Caenorhabditis elegans: one gene and its partner. The protein of the gene in region 1 purifies or fractionates together with the protein of each later gene. This does not show direct contact. Each region holds a gene or a part of one and is shown in the gene's direction. Other genes may lie near its edges.

Region 1 (3,920 bases):
TACTGGCAAAAGGAGCAGAAATTATCAAATTAATTACAAATGATCGTTTTGAAATTCACGATTTAAATATTGAACCACAACCGATTCAACCGATTTTGGTACGGCGGTTTTCAGGCGAGAAAATAGCTGAGAAAGCCGAGTTTTTAGCTTAAAATTGGCGAAAATACAAAGATTTTCTAATTTTTAATGAAAAAATTGCATAATTTCATTAGAAAATTCGTGATTTTACAGAAAAATTGCATTTTTAACTCTAAAATTGAGATTTTCCGAAGATTTTTGAATTTTTAGTGAAAAAAAACCGAATCGTCGAAAAAAAATTTTCGTAAAAAATCACATTTTTAGCCTAAAATCGTCGTCGAAAAATACCAAGATTTTTTGAATTTTTCAATGAAAAATCCAATTTTTAACATGAAAACCATGAAAATTTGCGATTTTTAGCCCAAAATTGAGATTTTACGTTATTTTTTGGCCTAAAATGGTCCAATTTTAAGTTTTTTGGTGAAAATTTCGTATAAAAAAGCAATTTTTAACCTAAAAAATTCACGATTTCTCTTAAAATCGTCGAAAATTCCGAGTTTTTCGAATTTTTAGTGAAAAAAAGCGTAAAAATTGCTCAAAACCGGCAGTTTACGGCAACATTTTGAAAAATTTCAGGAAAAAAGGAGAAAACTCGCGAATTTTTGAGATTTTTCCGGAAAAATTATAGTTTTTAGCTAAAAATCGTGGAAAAAATCTCAATTTTTAATTTAAAAAAATGATTTTTTTTTCGAACTTTTTTCCCCGTTGAAATTGTAAAATTTAGGCCAAAAAAGGCCATTTTTGGCTTAAAAGTCTCAAATTTTGGCCTAAAATATCGATTTTCAGGCGGAAAAAAAGCGAAAACAGCTTCGAAATGGTCCAAATAATCGGAAAATCGTGATGGCTCGATATTCGAAACGACCGGAAACCGAGGAACGAACAATGATCATTGAAATGCCAAATTTTCAAGAAAAATGACAATTTTTTGGGTTTTTTTGTTAAATTTTTATGGAATTTTTTGAAGAATTAATAAATTTTGTTTTTTTTTTTTAATTTTTTCATCGAAAATGTGCATTTTTCTCTGAAAAATTGGAAATTTAATTTAATTTTCATAAAAATTCAAAAAATCGTAATTCGCGTCGAGACCAGTGTTGAGATTCGAGTGCTGCGCCTTTAAAGAGCACTGTAGTTTTTTTCTTTCGAATTTTGCTGATTTTTCTCAGATTTTATACATTTCTCGGCTATTTTTTTGCCGTTTCAAGGATTTTCCAATTAATTTCAAGTTTTTCAACAAAGATTTAACGTGATTTTCCCTAGATTTGCTTAAGTTTCAGAGATTTTAGCTTTTTCTCTTGATTTTCAGTTAAATCTTCATAAATATTACGTTTTTTCCAATTCTAACATGTTTTTAGCATTTAGTGTTGCTAAAACTTATTTAAATTTTTTGAAAACCTAATTCTCATACAAATTAAATGAAGATTTTCGTGTTAAACAAGTTTCGTGGTGAGACACATGGCACAACTTTGCTGTATGCGCCTTTAAATGGCTACTGTACCGGAATTAATATTTTTCACCGGAAAAATCGATATTTTCATTGCAAAAAACTGAATTTCCCCCGCGAAAAAGTCAATAAAGATTACACTTTTTACCATTTGGCTTCTCATACGGCTTCTGAAAAGTATAAAAACTCGTTTTTCGGCTTAAATTTCGCCGAATTCCGTGAAAACACCATATTTGACGCGCAAACTTTGCGACATTTATCGCCGCTTTTTTACCGGTTTTTTCGCCGAAATTTCGCAATTTTTCAGTCATTTTCTTCCAATTTCACACGAAAAATCGATTTTCAGCGGGTTTTCTGTCAATTTCAAATGAAAAATGAACTCATCCGGACTTCAATTCACAAGTATGACGGAGCTTCTTGCCACATGCTCACTTACAGAGCAGCAAACACGACAATTTGAGCAAAAATCGCTTGATGTGTATGTTTTTAGCGTGGAAATTCGGAAAAATCGATTAAAATCATCGAAAACTGGGAAAAATCGATTTTCCAGTGGAAAAATTGAAAATCTTTAGGTTTTTCACTTTAAAATCTTAAAATATAGTGCAAAACTCGAAATTTTACGTAGAAAACTCGAAAAAATTCCGAATTTTATGATAAATTCAGTAAAAAACTCGAAAAATTGAGAAAATCCCAGTTTTAACAGAAAAAAATCGAAAAAACCCCAAATTTCCAAATTTTCAGAGTATATCAATCTTTGAAAAATTTGCAAGGATCTGCTGAAAAAGCCCGTGGAGATTTGGAGCAACAATACCGATTATTGATGAAAGCCGGTGAACTCGGAAATATTATCACGAAAAGCTCGAAATTTGCGAGATGGAAGCAAAATGTTCGTGTGAAAATGGAAAAATGGCGAAAAAAACGTGTATTTCGGCTGGAAAATCGAAAAAAAAACGCAAAATTTCATCCAAAATTCAATTTTTTTTCCACTAAAAACAGTCAAAAAATCAGATTAATTGCATTTTTTCGATGAAAAACATGAAAAATATATGAAAAATGGCTGAAAATCAGTTTTTAAAGCTGAAAAGTTGAAAAATGGCTGAAAAAACGAGAATTTTGCGGAAAAAAATCGACCAAAACCAAAAAACCCATGAAAATGTGAAAATTTCGTTAAAAATTCAATTTTTTAGCCGAAATATCAGCGAAAACCCAGAAATTTCAAGATTTTGAAGCTTTTAGCCCAAAATTTCCAAAAAAAACTCCATTAAAAATCGAAATTTTAAAGAATTTTACCGAAAAATCTCAAAAATCTATAAAAATCCTATTTTCAGACAGCAAATGCGGCACTTTTCTATGCGGATTTCGAGAAAGTCGTTCGAGAAGCTTCAAATTTGCAATCTGTGCTGAATATTGTACGTTTTTTCATAAAAAATGGAAAAAAAAAATTAATAAAACTCGATTTTTTCAGGAAAAAACGCAAAAAAAAAATCGATTTTCTCCTGAAAATTCAAAAAAAAACTGTTTTTTCCAAAATAAAAATTCAATAAAAATCTATTTTCACTCTGAAAATCCAAAAAATCAAAAAAATCCTTTTTTTTTCAGAAAAAGCAAAAGAAAAATCGGTTTTACCGTAAAAATTCCGAAAAAATCAATAAAATCGATTTCTTTTTCAGGAAATATTCAAAAAATCGATTTCCCCTTGAAAATTTCAAAAAATTTTTTAAAAAAATCGATTTTTACCCCAAAAATCCCGAAAAAACCAATAAAAATAAATTTTTTAAAGAAAAAAACGCAAAAAATCGACAAAAAACGATTTTCTCCTCATTTCTTTAAAAATTAAATTTTTTTTTCGAAAAATCGTTAAAAATTGATGATTATCGATTTTTCATCGATTTTCATCCTAAACCCCCAGAAAAATCAATAATTTCTTTTTCAGAAATACGAAAATCTGGTCCGACGTGCTGACACACAAAAACGTGCCGAACAAGAGGCTGCGGATAAACGTGCGGCGACGATTACTGTAGATTCGACGATGCGGGCGGTTCGGGCAAAGATCACACCGCGGGAACTTGTACGAAAAGTGGAAAATGATACGCCAAAGAAAAGCGCACTGATTTTTGATATTCGGTACTATTTTTAAATTTTTTAAACATTTTTTTTTCGGTGAAAACCCCCATTTTTCCTTAAAAATTCGAAATTTTAGTGGAAATGCGCTCTATTGCTAATAGGAGGTACGAATTTCGGTATTCCCCCCACTTTGTAATTGTTTCTGAAAAAGCCATCGACTTTAAAGGGACATGATCTACCCCCATGTCCCTTTAAAGTAGGTGAGCCCCAGCACAAATACACTGTGGAAAATACCAGAAATTGTACCTACTATTCTCAATGGGGCGCATTTGCCACC
Region 2 (3,920 bases), on another chromosome or scaffold:
ACCAATTCCTAAACATACCTGCTTATCCTTAGCCAACTGCTCCTCGATCTGCTTGTTGACCTTGCGTGCTTCTCGGCCTTCGGCATCAGCGCCAGCGCCGACGCACCCCATAAGGCGCATCTTGACGCGGTGGCGACGGCTCTTCTTCCGATCGGTGGTGGTTGCGCAGTGGTTTCAGCAAGTACAGTAGTAGTGAAACGTTTGAAAGGCGGTGGTGAACGGTAACGAATTAGCGGAATAGTCAACGGCGACGTGGTGAGCAGGGCAACTCACGGCGTGTGTAGGCAAAATGGAAAAGACAGAAAGAAGTGTGTGGGGGGAAGACGGAGAAGAAGAAGAAGAAGAAAAAAGAATAGAGAATTTGGAATTTGGAAGTTACTGGCCGATGTGATGGGAGAGGGTGGTTGGGGATCGAACGTTCGCAATCGGATCAGACGCACGTCGAATCGTGTTCGAGGCGCGTTGCCGTTGTCGTCGTCGCCGTCTTCGTCTTCTTCGTGTATCGGACAGCGGCCACAGACAAGTATGCAAACGACGAGAGAGAGGCGAAAGCAGCAGAGAGGGACAAACACACAAACACACTCACTCACTCACTCTCTCTCTCTCTCACAGTGTGTGTGTGTGTGTATTTTGTGAGTGCTAGTTGCCAGGCTCCTTTCCAACGGGCGGTCTCCTCAATCGAAATGCTCCCTCGCGTCGTGTCGTCTAAACTGCGTGTCGCACCAAACGCGACCGCCGGACCAACACACACGGCCGGCCGCCCCGTCGACAGCTCTTGTCCGGCACCGGCCTGCCGCCCTCCGGCTTCTTTGTGCTCTTTTCGTCGGCTTTATCGTCTGTTTCTCTTGTCGCGCCAGCGGGGCACACATACACACTTTTCGCCTCACTGGCATCCTCGATTTCTCAGGCTGTTGAGAGGGAAAGAGAGGGGGGGACTGCACACGCGTCGCGCTTCTCTCAACTCTCGTGCGTCGCGGCGGCGACGGCGGCGGCGGCGGCCCCACTGCACCCGCCAATTCAAACTCGGGTTTCAGTGCAGTGTTGGGGAGCTGCGAGCGGTAGCGACAGTGTGCGCCTTTAAAAAGTACTGTAGTTTTGAACTTTTCCATGCGCTTCTGGATTCCCTCGCATTTTTAAGTGGAAGAGTTTGCCAGACTAGGCCATTTTGTCTCGGCCACGGTTGGGGTAGATTTACGGCGCGTTGTGTGTCGCGTCGCGGCTCGGCTCGATTTTCATTGTGAAACAAAATTTATTTGTCCGTGTGGAGTACACAACTTTCCCACGCGTTGTCCGGCAGGTGATTGTCAATGGGGCGCAAAAAATTGCAATGACGAATACCAGAATCCCGTGTTTTTGCTCACGATTCATATTATTTTATTCTAGTTTTTTGAAAAATCTGAGAATTCTGGAAAAAAATTTGAAATGACAGTACTCTTTGAAGGCGCTAAATTTGATTTGTCGTGTCAAGACCAGGAAATTGCTGCCGTCAACTGAACGAATTGATTTTGTGAAAAATATTCCCATTTTGATAATAAATATATTTTTTTTTTGAAGAAAATCATATTTTGCAAACTACTGCTTATTGCGTAGAGCATGTTTTTAAAACGAAAAAAGATCAAATACCGTATCCCTCATTTAAAGGCGCATGGGCTATTCATTCTCCAGCTTTAGTTATTTCAGGTCTAGAAATAAATGCTGAAGCATCTCTTGCAACGAAATCTGAATTTTCACAGTCTTTACATATATATATATTTTTAAATAATAAATGAATATCGATATGATCACGGGTTTTCAGGTTTTTAATTGAATTTTAACTGAATTGTTGTAGATTTCTAATTATTTTGTTTTGTAAACTATGGAATCGTCTCTGAATTCGGTAAATTTGCAGGAAAAAAATCTAAATTCAAACTTCCCTCCAAAATTCGTCGCGAATCACGTCAGCGTCGGGAAACGCGTCAGCAACCACCAGCTGGCGCGCTTCTCGTTTTGCGCTTAAAAAGCGTGACTCAGTTTTCAATGATTTCACAATCATTAAAAGCGAGAAATATCGCGAAAACCTGCTTATAAACTTGATTTTTTGATGCTGATTAGCTAGAATTTTGTTAAAATATCGATTTTCTAAAGTTTAGGGCTGAAAAATTCACTTTTTGACTCCCATCTTGTTGCTCCATCGATTTTCGTAAAATTGCTGACTTTTCGTATTTCAGCGTCCACCGCTCACTTATCGCCAGGAAAAAATGTCGGTTCCGGCACTTCAGGTAGAGTTTTTAGAGTTTTTTGTTTAAAAAATTGAAAAATAAAACATTTTTTAATTTTTTAAAAATTTTTTTAATTCCAGAAGGCCATAGAATTGGTGACAAAAGCCACCGAGGAGGATACAGCCGGCAGATACGACCAAGCGCTGAGATTATACGATCAGGCCATTGAATACTTCCTTCATGCGATAAAATGTTGGTTTTTGAGCGGAATTTTCCGGGTTTTTTCCGTTTTTTCCGTTGAAAAAAATAAAAAATATGTTAATTTTCAATTATTTTTAAATTTTCAGACGAGTCACAAGGCGATAAACAGCGTAATGCGATTCGTGACAAAGTCGGGCAGTATTTGAATCGCGCCGAGCAGATCAAAACCCATCTGAAAGACGGAAAAACGCAGAAAAAGCCGGTGAAAGACGGGAAAGACGATTCCGACGAGGATGAGGACAAGAAAAAGTTTCAGGTAATCAAATTTTAATGGAAATTATCACCGAATTCAGCCCATCAGCCCAAAAATCGCAATTTTCAGGACAAACTGTCGGGCGCAATTGTGATGGAGAAGCCGAATGTCAAGTGGACCGATATTGCAGGACTTGAGGGAGCGAAAGAGGCGCTCAAGGAGGCCGTCATTCTTCCAATCAAATTTCCACAGCTTTTCACTGGTGAGAATCGTGGAATTTTGGCGAAAAATAATTTAAAAAATGCAGCTTTCCGCTGGAAAATCGATAAATTCAGTGATTTTTGCGGATTTTTGGTGAAAATTTGGGTTAATTTTCAATTTTCTCCCCAAAAAAAAAAAAACGATTTTTTAAATAAAATTCGGAAGAAATTGCAGTTTTTCAGGTTTTTGCCGATTTCCTTGCCTAAAAATCGATAAATTAGGCGGTTTTTCGGAGAAAATTCGGAAATTTCACTGGTTCCCGCAAAAAATCTCCAGTTTTAGTAAAATTTTGCAAAATTTCACCTGAAAATTTGCAAAAATCCCCCCCAGTTAACCGATTTTCCGCCAAAAAACTGCGAATTTTCCCCGGAAAATTAGCGAAAACCTCCGAAATGTCTATTTTTATAACAAAATTGAAGGAGAATGGATTTTTGAAAAAAAAACAATTATTACATATTCGGAAAAAAAACCTCCCGATGGGTCTCGCCAAGAAAAAAATGCATGCGTCTTTAATTTGGAGTTTCACGTGTCCCATTACGGTTTGATCTACAAAAAATGCGGGAATTTTTCGTCCTGAAAATGACGTGTCAGCAATATGCGAAATCAGTTGAGAACTCTGCGTCGCTTCTCTCCCGCATTTTTCGTAGATCGCCGTAGATCAAGCGGAAATGGATCTCTGGCTTCCCTCATAAACTGAAATGGAAGAGTTTTTGCCGAACTAGGCCATTTTGGCTCGGCCATATCTGGGGTAGATTTACGGCGCGTTGCGTGTCGCGTCGCGGCTCGATTTTAGCGCGAAAAATTCAACGAGGAAGGCCAGAACCCCGTGAGAAAAATTGAAAATTTTGACCTCAATTTCAGAAAAACGTACTTTTTTTTTGAAAAATCTGAAATATATATACGATTTATTTTGCAATACAACATTCGCGGAAATTTCAAAAATTGAAAAAATGACACTATACAAAAGACTATCGGGAAGTACGTGGTGTCAGGTAGTCTCATTGCGG

Evidence for each region.
Region 2: the proteins of usp-50 (region 1) and vps-4 fractionate together in Caenorhabditis elegans (co-fractionation; one large-scale study listed by BioGRID). This does not show direct contact.

Annotation. Positions count from the first base shown.
Region 1 is NC_003283.11:17,923,120-17,927,039, forward strand, and holds the start of usp-50 (ubiquitinyl hydrolase 1), read left to right. Parts: upstream 1-1,865; 5' UTR 1,866-1,893; coding exon 1,894-1,997; intron 1,998-2,260; coding exon 2,261-2,405; intron 2,406-2,847; coding exon 2,848-2,928; intron 2,929-3,452; coding exon 3,453-3,643; intron 3,644-3,920. Other genes in the region: E01B7.2 (uncharacterized protein), read left to right, coding at 1-98, 865-996.
Region 2 is NC_003279.8:1,065,187-1,069,106, reverse strand, and holds the start of vps-4 (vesicle-fusing ATPase), read left to right. Parts: upstream 1-2,207; 5' UTR 2,208-2,237; coding exon 2,238-2,258; intron 2,259-2,338; coding exon 2,339-2,450; intron 2,451-2,545; coding exon 2,546-2,715; intron 2,716-2,781; coding exon 2,782-2,914; intron 2,915-3,809; exon of another isoform or gene 3,810-3,920. Other genes in the region: gsa-1 (Guanine nucleotide-binding protein G(s) subunit alpha), read right to left, coding at 19-120.